4 linked regions of the Xenopus tropicalis genome follow. The protein of the gene in region 4 purifies or fractionates together with the protein of the main gene of each other region. This does not show direct contact. Links are inferred from orthologs where the notes say so. Each region holds a gene or a part of one and is shown on either strand. Other genes may lie near its edges.

The links. Proteins that work in one complex are often made in the same cells at the same time.
Region 1: the proteins of ankrd52 (region 4) and ppp6r2 purify together in Homo sapiens (affinity purification with mass spectrometry; 3 studies listed by BioGRID and IntAct, counting the BioPlex papers as one, with this or other methods). This does not show direct contact. The link is inferred for Xenopus tropicalis from reciprocal best matches to the Homo sapiens genes ANKRD52 and PPP6R2.
Region 2: the proteins of ankrd52 (region 4) and ppp6c purify together in Homo sapiens (affinity purification with mass spectrometry; 6 studies listed by BioGRID and IntAct, with this or other methods). This does not show direct contact. The link is inferred for Xenopus tropicalis from reciprocal best matches to the Homo sapiens genes ANKRD52 and PPP6C.
Region 3: the proteins of ankrd52 (region 4) and ppp6r1 purify together in Homo sapiens (co-immunoprecipitation; 3 studies listed by BioGRID and IntAct, with this or other methods). This does not show direct contact. The link is inferred for Xenopus tropicalis from reciprocal best matches to the Homo sapiens genes ANKRD52 and PPP6R1.

Annotation. Positions count from the first base shown.
Region 1 is NC_030679.2:89,213,158-89,216,992, reverse strand, and holds part of ppp6r2 (serine/threonine-protein phosphatase 6 regulatory subunit 2), read right to left. Parts: intron 3,825-3,835; coding exon 3,698-3,824; intron 2,170-3,697; coding exon 2,017-2,169; intron 1,790-2,016; coding exon 1,577-1,789; intron 1-1,576. UniProt on the Homo sapiens protein: Regulatory subunit of protein phosphatase 6 (PP6). May function as a scaffolding PP6 subunit. Involved in the PP6-mediated dephosphorylation of NFKBIE opposing its degradation in response to TNF-alpha.
Region 2 is NC_030684.2:28,169,699-28,173,533, forward strand, and holds part of ppp6c (serine/threonine-protein phosphatase 6 catalytic subunit), read right to left. Parts: intron 2,903-3,835; coding exon 2,807-2,902; intron 1,274-2,806; coding exon 1,208-1,273; intron 777-1,207; coding exon 635-776; intron 1-634.
Region 3 is NC_030683.2:114,083,862-114,087,696, reverse strand, and holds part of ppp6r1 (serine/threonine-protein phosphatase 6 regulatory subunit 1), read right to left. Parts: intron 3,376-3,835; coding exon 3,223-3,375; intron 3,006-3,222; coding exon 2,871-3,005; intron 2,388-2,870; coding exon 2,323-2,387; intron 1,841-2,322; coding exon 1,725-1,840; intron 898-1,724; coding exon 812-897; intron 1-811. UniProt on the Homo sapiens protein: Regulatory subunit of protein phosphatase 6 (PP6). May function as a scaffolding PP6 subunit. Involved in the PP6-mediated dephosphorylation of NFKBIE opposing its degradation in response to TNF-alpha.
Region 4 is NC_030678.2:137,394,338-137,398,172, reverse strand, and holds part of ankrd52 (serine/threonine-protein phosphatase 6 regulatory ankyrin repeat subunit C), read right to left. Parts: intron 3,765-3,835; coding exon 3,681-3,764; intron 3,416-3,680; coding exon 3,270-3,415; intron 2,930-3,269; coding exon 2,847-2,929; intron 2,068-2,846; coding exon 1,985-2,067; intron 1,509-1,984; coding exon 1,417-1,508; intron 540-1,416; coding exon 304-539; 3' UTR 1-303. UniProt on the Homo sapiens protein: Putative regulatory subunit of protein phosphatase 6 (PP6) that may be involved in the recognition of phosphoprotein substrates.

The DNA of each region.
Region 1 (3,835 bases), on a different chromosome or scaffold from region 4:
AAATCTGATGGGGCCCGTGACATCCAGCCACTCCCTCTGCTAACTGCAGGTGCATCTTCCCCCCCATCACAGCCACAAGGAAAAAGCGTGGAACTTAGTGGGGAAGGGGGGGGGGGGGTCAGGAGCCCCCAGGAGGCTGTCCTGGTGGTCCCCGGACACCCCAGTGTGGACCTGCCTACGGTGGGAATCTACAAGGTCACCCCACTTACCTCGTCACTGATGTGTTAATTTATAAACTGGCATAGACAGTCAAGTTTCAAAAAAGGGAAAAAGAAAAAAAAGGTGGAGATTGTGATTTCAATAGTTAGGGCCCTTTTAAAATGAGGCCCACCCATCTCTACCCAACTGGTGCTGGAGTGGTTAACTACTGGGGCCAAATAGTGCTTTTACAACGGGTACCTGGAGAGCAGGGGAACAGAGGGTTCAAGAACAAATAAGTAAGCTGCAAATAAAGCCAGCCCTCAGAGAAAAAAAAATGTTTTATTTTAAATCAGGACTTAAATGAACCATACTTATCTGATTTATAAAAGGTTAATACGTTGTATGTTCAGTAGTTATCCATCTTGAAAATTACATGACATAGCAAAGAGGAATCAAGACAACCGTATATATTTCATCTATTGTACAAGTGCAGCAACAATCTTTTTTTAGACAGAACATATGATATTTTATTTTGTTAGAAGCCACACTGCTATTAAATTGCAAAGTATATCTCCAACAGAGATCATAAAGTTGGTTAAAGTATTTTTAATACATCATTTAAAGGGGTTGTTCAACTTTGAGCTAAAGGAATACTATCATGATGTTAATGTGTATTTTCAGGAGCTCTTCAGTTTGGAGTTTCAGCAGTAGGCCTATGATTAAGTACCATACGGTACGAAACGCGTAAGGCCATGTAGCATTAAGTGTTAATATAATAAACTTTATGATTTTATTTCAATTTTTGGAGTCTACTGCCTGATACCTTTTTCTTCAAGTCCTGGAGTGCCTGCCATTTTCAATTTTTGGATTTCCTAAATGGTCCCCTCAAGCTGAAGGTCTGGGGCATGAGCACCCAGGCCCATCTATACTATCGGTGAGATACTAAATATACTTAAAACTTATGAGCATAATCCTATAATGTTTGTTCTATATGTAGGGTTCAAGTTACCTTAGCAACCAGGGAGTGGTTTGGATGAGTGATTGTTATATGAATAGGAGACGGCCTGAATACAAAAGAAAGTTACAAAAAGTAACAATAACAATACAACGGTAGCCTCGCAGAGCAATAATTTTTTGTAAGAAGAAGGCAAATAATTGAAAAACTCTAACAAATAAATGATGACAGTCATTCTATAACAAACTAAAAGTTAGCTTAAAGATGAACCACTTTTAACAAAACTGACATAGTCTTTGCAACATTGGAAGATATTTTTGCGGTACGTAAGCCTTGAAAACAAGGCAGGCAATAAAAATTATAATTTGTCTTTCGCACATACACGCAGAGTCAGAAGCTCTAAGTAATGGCAACAAAAGGGGATCACCATACGCAAAACACACCTAAAAAATTATACATTTAATAAAAATCCTAACTCACATGTGTGATCATTAGATCTTCATGCTCAGAGGAACAGATCTGGCAGTTCTCCATGTTTTCTGCATTTCCATTAAGTGTTTCCTCCTCCTCCTGTCTTTCTTCAGAAACTGCCAGATACTTCCCTTCTTGCCTGGAGTTAGAGAGAACAGCTGCTATACACAGCTCAACCTGTAAGTGCATGAAGTTATTCCATGTGTATCTAAAGAAAAGATCCTGTGGGAGAGAAAGGTATAACATATTAGCTACAGAAGCACCATCTTCTTACAAATAATAAAATATCTGTTTTTAAATGATTCTTTTAGCTCTTGTTGTTAATGCCAGAAAATTCCATATTTGTTATTAATGCAACACATTTTTACTAGTTTCTTTCTAGCAAATTTCCCTATGCCAGGAGAAGCACTGAATTTGAAGTGCTTAGTGCCTTTGCTAGATTTACTTACAAGTAAGAGATCCATGGTACCTAGCCGACAAAGCTCCTGGTTAATACTGGGAGTGTTAGTGTGAAGCAATGCGGCAATAAGGCGTGTAGTGTGGAGACGGGCATTTCCTAATGGCTCCTCCAGTACCCCAATTGTGGTCAAAATTGATTCTTTCTGCATTAAAATTGAAAGAGATAATATCACAAACCCATTAGTCGCATGGAAAATTCCTTACCTTGTTTTTAAACTTGCAGAAGCTGTCCACTGGTTATTGGTTTAACATAAAACCCTTGAAAACACATGCCTTTGTTTACCACATACCTATTTTTCCATGATAACAGTGCAGTAATTTCAACCATATACTGTTAAAAATTGGCATCAAATGAAATGCAAAATGTATTTCCTTCTTCTAACAGGGTTATGTAACTTTGCAGCATGTTTCCCATCTGGCAATTCCCATTATTGCCAATATGGAAACATATGCAGCAGATTATTCACCCAAGATATATGCGGGAGATTAGTCACCCACGATAGCTCTCCTGTTTCCCTGCCGGCAATTCTCATTATTGCCAGAGTGGAAACATAAGCTACTCGAGAGGCAACTTCAGGCTACTTAGCAAAGCCGAAGTGGCGTGTACGTATGCAGGAGATTAGTTGCCCGTGGTAGAGGAGATCTAATATCTCCTCCACGTGCTTAACAACTAGTACCAAGGATTGCTCAATAAGCACATGCTTATTACATAATCATGCACATGTGCATTTTAAGCAAGCTGTAGTATTGCAGGTACCAAAGTATGGCCACCCACATAGGGGTACTGTGTTCAAAGAGGTCCTATTTAAAAAAAAAAAAAAAAAATACACTCTTCTTCATCTGGAATGCAGGCTGTGTTAGCTCACAGCTTCAGCAGGAGAAAGAAAATTTTTGAGATGGGACCCTTTAAAAGAAAATTAGTCGCAACACTAAAGCAAAGCTTACAATCTACACTGAAACTTACACTTTTATAAAATAACACAAAAGAAATAAATGTGCAAAACTTTAATGGGATAAACCTGACCAATTTAAAATACTTTTAACTTACACAAAGACATCAAACAGTAATTGCTGTTCCACAGAGCATACAGGCTGGGTTTGGTGCTAGAAATGCAAGACTGACTTTCTGAAGTTCATAAGAAGCTTAAAAATTAATCCCTGAATCAGTACAGTAACCTGAACATGAATATCTAGTATAAATAAATTTAAAGCAACTGGACTTGTTGGTAATCATTGAAGACGTTTCACTACTCATCCGAGCAGCTTCTTCAGTAGAACTGAAGAAGCTGCTCGGATGAGTAGTGAAACGTCTTCAATGATTACCAAACAAGTCCAGTTGCTTTAAATTTATTTATACTAGATATACCGTGACCTGGATGAATGAAAATCTTCATAGACATACTAAACATGAATAGTAAAAAAAAAAAAAAAAAAACACAACTCAGGGTTATATCAATGAAAAGCTAACCAAAGGGCTTTTAACTTGTAGAAATGTCATAGTAACACATCCATCAAATTCAACCTTTTACAGAAGCCTATATGGGCAAATGTACAAGCAGACATTGATAAAGTCATAATAGAGTTTAAAAACTACTGTCTCATTTGGCATTTTATAAACACACATAACTGCAATACCTTGTGACTACCTATATGTACAAAAGCAGGTTGTACCTTAGGAGGATGCTGAAGCAGATCGTGAAAATCTTTTAGACGTGGCTCTATCACTTGAAGTATACAGTTGCTAACAGTAGGAGTTCTATCATAGCCCTGTGTCAATGAATTCAGCAGGGGATCTACACTGTAGAAAAG
Region 2 (3,835 bases), on a different chromosome or scaffold from region 4:
TCTTAGTACAAGTTGATCCAGGGACTGGTCCGATTGCCATATTGGAGTCAGGAAGGATTTTTTTCCCCTCTGCGGCAAATTAGAGAGGCTTCAGATGGGGTTTTTTGCCTTCCTCTGGATCAACTAGAAGTTAGGCAGGTTATATATAGGCATTATGGTTGAACATGATGGACGTTTGTCTTTTTTCAACCCAACTTATTATGTTACTATGTACAAGAAACACAAAATAGTAATGCCATAGAATCACCACTAGGAGGTAGCAGTACCACATATTGCAGAAGTCACCTCAAAGTTTCATGATCTGTAGAAAATCATTTGGACATGGAAAACTACAGTGACTTAATAAGTCACTACCCTTATATTTTACAACAGGAGACACACACACACACATATAATCAGTCTCAAAGTAATAATATTGCACAACAGAAGACCAGCCATAGAACAAGTGCCTTTGTCACAGCAGCAGTGCAAATGACTTCCATCATAGCACAAGTGTTACTCTGTGTTTATGTCATTTGACAAGGCAAACCAGGAAGTTATAAGGAAAAGCATTTAGCAAATTGTCTGCCAGGAAAATAATGATTAAGAAGCTTTTTTCCTACTTGGTTTTATGGTTTTGGACAGTAGTGCTCACCATAGAATCCATACACCTGTGTGATCTGCCTGCTTTCATGGTTCCCTCGCAGCAAGGTAATACGGTCAGGCCACTTGGCTTTCAGGGCAAGCAGGTAGGTGAATGTCTCTAAACTGTAATACCCTCTATCTACAAAGTCACCCTACAAAATGAAAAGAAAAGGGAAAAAAGCAGATAATAAATACAGATGCTGTATATCATTTTTTTTAACAGTTTATTTCTACTAAACAGGCATTTTATTGCAAATGGGGCTTCACCGACTTGTTAAGAGACTGTACATTCTGGGGGAACAGTTTGACATGAAGCCATCACGGTAGTACATAATGCAATGGACAAGGCAGGTAAAAAATTATTGGCAAAACAAATTCAATGTGCCCACTAAGATAAATATGACAGATTTGTTGAACATGCTAGCTAGGTCTCCCACTTAGAGACACAAGTGGAATGTGTTTAAATTGGCAAAAAAACAAAACATTGTTTGTGTTAGTCAGCCTTTGAGTTTATGACTGAGATGCTTTCTTTTTTAAAAAAAAAAAACCAAATCAAGTACAACTCCCTTCAACCTGCACTCACCATGAAGATGTAATTTGTGTCAGGAACTTGGCCGCCAGTTCTAAAGAGCTCACACAGATCATAAAACTAGAAAACAAGCAAAAAAAAAAGTGCTTTCAGCAAGTGTAACAAGGTTTTTTTTTTTTTTTTTTTAAATGGCAGTTTTAGTTTACTAAACAGATTCATCCCACCCAAAAACATCCCCTTTCCCCTTACATAAAGATGTCATTAATGATTAAGTATATGTACCAAAAGGTAAAGGTTCCAAACAGGTGCTGTAAGTACGTATCTCTTAAAGCTTTCGCTCAGGGCTGTGACACACGGGGAGATTAGTCACCGCGACAAATCTCCCTTGTTGCGGGCGACTAATCTCCCCAAAATGGAGAGCGCTGGCGGCGCCACCATTTGCAGAAGTCACGGAAGTTGCCTTAAGAGGAAACTTCTGCAAATTGCAGCGCTGCATATGCCATCCCACCGGCGATTTACATTCTAACCAGTGGAATGGCATTTCGGGGAGATTAGTCGCCCAGCGAATAATCTCACCGTGTGTCACAGCCCTTATACGCAAAAGATTCACTTGTTTGAGGAGGTCATGAGTGGATCTTTGTCCAATTTAACAACCTACATACAGGGCCAAATCAATGCAGGCCTGTCGGGGGAAGACCGCACCAACAAGCTGATTTGACCCTTGCCTCATGGGATTTAAAAATAGGGAAGATATCTATTGTGGAGTCTTTTGGGAAGGTCCCATGCATGGGCAGAGAACTAGCTTCCACTCATGCGTCCCATATTTTGTTGGATCTTGTAAAGGCAAACCTCTTGCTAGATGTAGCAACATGATCAATGGCGTGGTCTTATCAATCAGACAAACGGGACAGAGTAATTTGGGCTCAACCAATGTAATAAAATCCTTTTCTTTGCCAGACACAGAACAGTTAAAACCAGGATTCTACTATATGTCTTAGGAACTGATTAATCCAAGAGCAACATTGGGGTCAATGATAACAAAGAAGGCAGTATATGTTTATCAGTAAAGACTAGAACAACCTGACAATAGTTATTAATGAGATGACATAAAAAATGTTGTTTAATCAATCCTCCAAACTGCAAAACATAAGCCTCATCTGGAGATAACTAAAACATGAATGTTGTGCTAGCTAATTTGTTATACTATTCTAATTTAATAGATATCTCCCAGTAACTCTTGTAAACTTGGCCCAGTGTTCTCTTTCTTAAAAAATGCATAGGCCTGAAGTAGCTTTCAGTTAAGCAGGCTAGCCACCATTATCTTCCCAGGCACCCCCTGTGTCACGGTCATTTCCTTATGCAAGGTACAGAACAGCTGGTTAAAGGTTCTCCAAGTCTAAAGAGGGTCAGGGTGATGCCTGGAAAAGTAGGAGAAACAGCAGGCCACCCTTTTGAAAAACTAGCCAAGGCAAGAGCATTTTATATTGAAAAGTTGCACCGGCAAAGGGTAAGACATAAGCAATTGTTCACTGGGCGGTGGCCTAAAATACTGGCATAACCCACCCCAGTTTTTCATGTATCTTGAAACTGCAATAAAATCTTTACTTTTTTGATACCCTATGTCTGACAGCAGATTTATGGAAAGTGACTTACCTGTCCATGTATATCTCCACAAACTGTTACGGGTGTAGATACCGGCTGAACATTTGATTCCTCCAGTAGCAGATCACACACATAATCACATAGTCGCTTTAAAAGAGAATAAAAAAGTGAAACAAATATTAAAGATTTTCTTTTGACCACAGAACAAATGTAACGGCTAAACCAGAAATCAGAAAACTATACAAATTGGCATCCTCTAATTCGACCCAAACAATGACATCTGGCCACATATAGGATTACCACACAGAAATACAGGTAGCTTTTTTGGCCTGCCTACAATATCTAGCTCCATGTATGATATGGCAAGTGGAAGCTCCAGGACTATAGTCCTCTGTGAAAGGTTTAATAGGTATGAGCATCATCATTAGGAAGGAAGCTTAAAGTTCTTTCAGAAAATGGAAATGTTGCATATTTTTTGTTCCCTTTAAAGAAACTTTTTTTTTAGATAAACTCATTTACAAAAATACATCCATGGCAAAGGCCAAACACATACACTGGGCTAGGACCAAATCTGATTGGCCACAGACCAAACCACTACATTATGCTATAAAATCAGTCAGATGTCGATCGGGAAGGTTTAAGAAAACCCAAGGACTAAATTTTCAAATCAGCCTGATATCATATCCACTCAATTGGGGTGCGGATGTAAAGGCCAGCTTAATTTAAACCAATTTCACACATTTATCAAGATTTACACATTAGTGGCATGTTATCTAAACAATTAGCACAAGGCGTTAATCCACAACTAGCAGCTCGTGAACAACATGTTGCGTCAAAGTAGGCATTCAGTATAAAATTCTATTTTTGGAGGCAAAGCGCTAAACTACATGGGAGATTTTGATAAGATTCTGTGGGTCACAAAATGTTGTCATATAACAGCATGAGATTACAGTATGTAGGATCCTACAAAATCTGATCCCCACAACTGTAAAACAAGTTGGATCAGATAAAGTCAGATGGTGTGTTTTGTTCCAGCATCTACATCCAACAGTCAATGTAATTCAATAAAAAAGTCTTCTC
Region 3 (3,835 bases), on a different chromosome or scaffold from region 4:
TTATTTTCCATATGTTTATTAAACTTGGGCCCCATCCAAATTGCCTTGCTCCCCCCACTAATCACACCACTGTACACCCTAAACAGTCCTATTTGATGTACCTGGTTGTACAAAGCAAAGTGTTGCAGCCAGGTTGATGGATACCAACCTACACCGCTTCAGGTTGGCTTCTTTGTGATAGCCGACCTGGAGCATGCACTAACAACATCACATTTTCCTAAAACAAATAACAGCTTTTACCAGCAGCCAGTAAATGTCAGTGACATTTACATTTGCAAACAGCATGTTTCATGTTGGGGGCATATATGTCCATTTTACCACACAGTATAGGTCATGGCAGGCCTGTGTCATTGCCCATAAATTGTTTTACAGCTTCTGAAGTAAAACACACAATTTTTAAAGGAGAAGGATCACAGCACATTGCCTATTATGTAATTAACCATTACATCACACATTATTCTGTAGGTAAGTGGCTCTTTTAGAATACTTTAGGATAAACAATAGTTAGCAGGATGAATTAAAATTTTACCTAACTTTCAAAAAAAGGGGTGTGCATCCTAGAGATTCTGGACCACAGCCCTCCCCCGTCTCTCAATAACTGGGGCATTTGCCAGATGGTCTGTGCAGGTGTGAACAGCAAAGCAGAGGACCCCACTTGATTATACAGAAACACAACCCTGCCCTTAATACTGGACCCAATCACAACTAGAGAATCAGGCAGCACTACTGTGCTGAAGCTAGCTCTGCTATAAAATTCACTGCAGATTTTTTTTTTACTGGAGAATAAATTCAGATTTTAAAAAAATCTTACGAGGTCAATGGTATTCTTCTTATTTGTATCTGTAAGAGATCCAGATACAAAACCGTCCCAACATTCCTGTTCTTCATCAGTTAGATCTGTCAGAAGGTATGGAAATAACAGTAACAATCAGGAAATAGTGCATTACATTCTTCCCAATGTTCTGCCCCTATAAATGGTCATGTATGATTTTCTCATTTCCCCGCAAAATGCAAAGGCTGCATGGTTCTTTCAGCTGATTACACTGAGAAACCAGAAATATTGGCTGGAGAGATTGGCAGAAAGAACTTTTGGCAGAACATTTTGCTATAGACTCTCACATCACAATACATGGTCTGCGCTTGGTCATCTATACTTTATTCACATACAGGTTTACTATGAGACACACTGGCCAACACACACACCAATTGTGGTATGCACAGTGAAATTTGTGTGAAAACACATTATTTAGCACAATTGAATCCACACACCTTCTAAAAGTGTGCAGATAATTTTTGCAAAGGCAAAAGGAACACAGAGGGGATTACTGGTCAAACCCCTCACCGAAATTAATCTGAAACCCATAGCATGATTCCCTTGATCTTGGACTAGGAGGGAGGTTGCCAATTTTTTTTTGTCTGGCACTAAAGAGCCATTGTTCCTTTCAAAGTACGTAACTACCCTTTAATTAACCCTGCAAACTCCTGCCAATGTAGTTATGTACAGTAATACCCTTTAAGGCAGAACAATTTATGAAAATGACTTAGCAGAGTTTGCGAATGAAGGAGAGAAAATGACAGAGAATGTGTTAAAAGGTGCCCCATCTTGTGCTTGGGTGACTTCATTGCAAAACACTAACATTTGGAAGTGAAAATGTAAAAAATTTCAAAAATAAAAATGCACAAATCAGTCAGGCAAACAGAATGTGGAGGCTACTTATCCTCACCTTTTATCAGCTGTCCAACTAGAGATACATTTGGTCCTTTTTCAGAACTCTGAACAACTGAATTTGCAATTTTTGTCAGATGGCCCATGAACCCTTTGCGTCGCCCTCCTTCTGATCTAAAGAAAAAAAAAAGACAAATTTTAGTGTCTACACATTGTGCATTCTGATGCATAGACATTCTGAAGAACATCTAAGGAGGATGTGTTGTAGAATGCAATGATGAATTATTAATCAGTTAAAAAAAAAACAAAAAAAAAACAACCCGTGTGTGTAGCTGGCCACACACGTGGCAATTTTTTCGATTGAAAGATCATTCCAACCCTCCACTGATGTTCAGGACTGAATCGTCAGGAAACAATAGGATTTCTACCTCCTTCTGGCGATTCAGCCCTGAAGGCAGATTTTGCTCAGGCACCTTTAATGGCGGCCGAACAAAATCTTCTAACCTGCCCGATCGCCTCCTGCGATGATACGCGCACCGAATATTGTACGAAGATATTATCGGTGCGTGTATGTCCAGCTTTATATATACACATGAATTCTACGTATATATATATATATATAATCTCTTTGAGAATGTAATTTCTGTAGTCCTTACTGTTCTTTCTCGTTTTCTTCCCACGCTGATAAAATTCTCTGAACGAGGCGGCATTTTTGCAGAAGCTGATTAAAAGAAAGAGTATGTCAGATGCCTTTACTTCCAGCACTGAGGTACAGAATTTCCACACAGACATTTTAACTATAGTCAGTTCAGTAAAGCAATGGTGCCTGATAGATAGACTGGGATATAACAGTAGATTTTTAGACTAGGATCACAGCAGCCAGGCATTTCAGTTTAATGTGATGAAGTTTTTTCATGATTATATAACATGTTATGTTGGCAGATTTAAATAAAAGACAACCCCACAATGGTAAAGTCTGGGCAAGTGTGCACTTTATAGTTGAACTGTTAAGTAAGGTATTATTTTCTTTTTTGGATCAGGATTTTATTTTGTAATGTTTTTACTAGAAAGGTAAAATAAAAAGTGCCCAGACAATAACAGGTGTACCAAGTTTACTTAAATCAGTCATCTTTTGTATCTAAAACTATAATTTTAACTTTACTTTTCCCTCAATTGTAAAAACAAAAAAAAAATTTCAACTTACATATCTGACAAGAGGGTGGCCTTGTGCCTCATCTTCAATGGTTTCTTCCAAAGGAGACGAATTTAAAATTGTGGTGATGCACACCTCTACTTGTGCGTGCAGGAAATTATTGTACATGTATTTGAAATAAAGGTCCTAGAAGAAAAAAAAAATCAGTAAAGCAAAAGAAACACAACCCACGTAGCAGGTAATCAAATGAGATCCATAGGGGAAGACTGAAGAAAATTCAGGAGCAGTCATGGACACGATAGGAAAAATTAAACAAAAGTATTTAACATCCATTGGCTGTAACACCCAAGCAATGCATAGCTGTCGCCACTCTGCCTGTGTGCAACATAATTAAGTATCTTACCAGCATGGTGTTCAGTGTGTCCAGCTCAATCAGCTCTTGATTTAACACTTTATTGTTTGCATTTATTATGCTAGCCAACAGTTTCACCACATGTAGTCGAGTATTCCCCAGGGGTGGATCAAGAATTCCCCATGTTGTTTGTAGGCTTTGTTTCTGCAAAAAGAATAAATTACATTTTCAGTTATACATTAATAAATACAAAAAATAAATTTGTGTATGTATTTGGGAGATGCATTGCTCCTAAGTTGTGGCACAGAATAGCCACACATGCATTTTAAGTTTAATAATTTTTTTATGTTGCATGAAAGTTTGGCCACTGGATGGTGCTGTTGCATTGAAACCATGGGAAAATATAACCGAAGCTCCTTAAGAAACAATTGCTAGTAAGCTATTAATACCTAAATTTAACAAAAAAAAAGTAATTATTGGGAAGTAAACTAATTAAAGTGCAACTAAAACCCCACAAAGACATCACTAGGCATGTGCTGTGTACTGGAGACAAGCTTGATACAGAAAGAGCATTGAGGAGGCACTGATGTGCTGATTCCGTAAACAATTGATTTATCCTACATATAGGGTGTATGTTGGCTGGGCAGTGGGAATTTTTTTCTTT
Region 4 (3,835 bases):
AAGAGACACCATGGAAGCATTTAGTAAGGGCAGCTCACTGTGCAGATGGAGAAAGGGGAACCCTATCAGTTAAAAACTCCTTTCACCTAAGTAGAATCTCCACCCCATACGCAAGTAAGGTACAATACTACATAAGCTTCAGTGCAAGCCAGGGCAGCTCAAGAGAGCAGGTTAATGGGAGGAAAGCCTAGTAAGCAGCTCAACACCACTGTATGTTGTGTCTTATTCTCCTTTAAAAAAGTGCCCTAAAATTATCCTAAATAAATTAAATGTAAGGATGCATCACCCAGAGGGCAAAAGAAGCTACTCAGAGTAGCAGCCATCCATGGCAATAGAACCATGACGATCCTTTGTGTAGGGGCAGCTGCCACCATTAGGGAGGGCAGTCTTGGCAGCGATGCTGCAGTTTTTCAGAAGGTTGAAACTGAAGGGAAGGATGGCGTCTTTTGGTGGGAAAGGCTTCATGGTGGATAGGATAAGTGCCAAGCAGTCCGCTACGTCCTTGTTCGGTGCACAGGCCAAGGCTGGGGTGTGACCTGCTGTCAAGTGAAAAAGATAAATGCAAGAAGTAAAATTTATTAGACAATTCTAATGAAGTTTCTATTAAAGTAGCGGCGAAATGTACCAATGATTTAATACAGGGAGGGACTGTTGCGCAGTACAGAAAATAAAATTGTGCCAAGTACTTAGAGGAAACTGCTTCTGGAATAATATATGCATACACTACTGGCAAACCATCCTCAAACATCCATTAACAACTAGTTGTGCGGGTTTGTATCAACATATGCACAACTGTAATGTGAAAGGGGTTAATGCAATTTTATGGGTCAGACAACAGAACTCCCTTCATTATGCCAGATAGTTTGGCTAGCTGAAATATTAAACTGCCCAAGACTGCATTCAGATAAATTGGTTAAACCTTGCACACACTACAGCTCAATTGGAATTTTTTTTATATGAATTATATGGGTATGATGATCTAGAAGAAGGATATCAACTTAAATAAGAAAAACTTAAAAATTTGCCTATGTAAAACACCAGTTTCTTCTGGAAATTCAGACTAAATAGAAATGTAGGGGACTGAATCAGCTAATAATAAAAATGATTCTGCCATTTAAAACCACATCGCTTAATGTATGTTTGATACTCTGCAGTAGACTTTCAGCCCCGTTTCCTTGACAGAGTTATTACAGTCTGAAATACATTTCTGCTTAAAACTTGTTTGTTAAATATTAGGGCTTGCAGCTAAATATGCTGTGTCTGCTAATAATGAGTAGGGCTCATAATTTCTAAAAAGCATCTACCCCTGAAGAGCAGCCATGAGTAGGAATGCTGTTGCTCCTGCATGGGTGAAAACATGGCAAGAAACACTTGTCTTATTAAACAAGGGAATAAGAAAACGTGTAATGGTCTCACCTTCTTCATCCACAGCCAACACAGTGGCCCCTCTTGTAAGCAAAGCTTGGACGACCGATGCCAGCCCATTGCGAGCAGCAATGTGAAGAGGCCTGGGAAAGGATCAGAAAAATAAATATCAGGAGCGTACAATTTTACAATTTAAATTGTCAAAATCATTGATTACATCACAGCATAAATCTACTCAGAGATCTTAAATGGCTGCAAAACCAGCTTGCATTTTTGTACTTCAATCTTATTACTGTGGCTTTTGCATTTAGTTATGGCAAAATGTTTTTTTAATAAGATAACATAAGGTTATTTATTGCAATATTTAAACATGAACATATCACATACCTGTACATGAAGGCACAGGAAACAGTTTGTTTTACTAACTAAACAGAATTTTAGGGGAACATGCTAGATTATACATATTGTTCCTGTGGGTCCCTCCTCCAAGAAACTCACTTCATAATCTTAAAGGCTTTGCATTACATTATAAAATATAACAGATCAACCAAGAAAACTAATTGGAAAATAAGAAAAAAACAGGGAAAAAAAACCTGCATCATTCATTAACACAACTCACATCTGCAGCATGCTGTTTGTTGCATTGATAAGGCCAAGGTCCCGGGTCTCCCCTAGAAGCAGCAAAGCACACTTTTCATGTCCCTAGAAATAAAGATATTGTAAATAAGGATACTACAAAAGAACCTTTTTATATAGTTTAAAAGTCTGCCCTAATATCCGAACTGAAAAGAATAGTCAAAATGCATGTCAGAACAAGCCTTATTCATTTAGCCATTTTACTAAAAAAGGGGTTACATTGACACTTAAGTTTAGTTAGCAAGTGAGAGTAGTAACTGGAAATCATTCTATTAAAAGTCCACTAACATCTATTTTTTCACAGTAGCTTCAGAAAGGTGCTTTCCTGCTTGATGATGATCCTATGCACAAAGACAGGTCTGTTTTGAATTTGTTCAAATGGTAGGGAAAGAAGCTGAGAAAATTGCACAGGACACTAAACTCAACTGTATATCTCACTAATGCTGTTGTGATTGAACAGAACCACCAAGAAGAGTAAACACTATTATAGCAGCAAAGGGATGCCCAACTTATTAATGCTCATACAGGTATTACAGAATGAGGTTAGGCAGGTAGATACATACTCACAGTCTAAAGGTTACTCTAAGTTCTGTAGGAAAAATTTAAATATAAAAAACACAAGTGCTGTAAGATGAAAAAGTCAGTCTTTCCACAGGGGCAACACCTTTTGTTTTTGCTTACTGCAAAAACAAAAGGCATTGACTTTCTTGAAAAACAAGAAAGTCAATGCTGCTGTTACTTCTGAAAGCTGTCATTTAAGTTATAATATTGAACAGTGATATTTAATATACTAGTACCTCGACAGGGAGAAAGTACCCCATACGCAACTAGATAAGCATAATTACCTTGCTGCAGGCTAGGTGAAGCGCAGTGTTCTTGTTGATATCCATCACAGTTAAATCCGCCTTCATGTGAAACAGCAGGAACTCTACAACATGAATGGATAGAGAATGACATGATGTTTTAATCAAGTAAAAAGGATGAACATATTAAAGTGTATATATATATATATATATATATATATATATATATATATATATATATATATATATATATATATATATATATATATATATAGCAAGACAATGAGCCGCACACGCAGGGACTTTTTTAGAAAACAAAAAATTTCTTTAATGAAAACGATCCAACGTTTCGAGCACCAACTGTGCTCTTCCTCAGGGAAAAAAATATATATATTTATTTATTTTTTTTTTTTTTTTTATCTCAAAACACTGAGGACCTATATATAACACAAGAAGTACAATTACCAACTGCTGCAGTCCTTCCATTTTCTGCTGACATCATCAGAGGTGTCCGACCAGAGAGGTCTGTGGCATTGACCTCAGCCTGGTGGTGCAAGAGTAGTTGTAAACCGTTCACATTGTCAGCAAATGCTGCAGCATGAAGAGGAGTCCTGCGTCAAAAAAAAAAAAAAAAAATTACATTATGTGCTGCTGTTAGACTGCCTGGGAACCTCTGCTATAAGTGAAGAAAATTTCCCTTTAAAATATATAAAATGCCAACATATTCAGCAGCATTGTACAATAAATGGGTGTTTACATTAAACAAAAACAACAAATTAAAAAAAAAAAGTATATTGGGCCCTAATATGTATTAGTTAAGAGCTTATCTTCACATGTATTACAGCATTAACAGAAACCAGAAAAAAAGAAACTAACCTCCCTTTGGCATCTCTGCTATTCACAATCTTGGCACCCAAAGCTTCTACCAGTAGGTCAGCCGTACCATCTTGGCTGTTAATTCTGCAAGAAGAAAACAAATACCAGTTGGGTAAAGCCAGAAAGCAGAGCCAGTGGAACTCTGTTTATTTCCA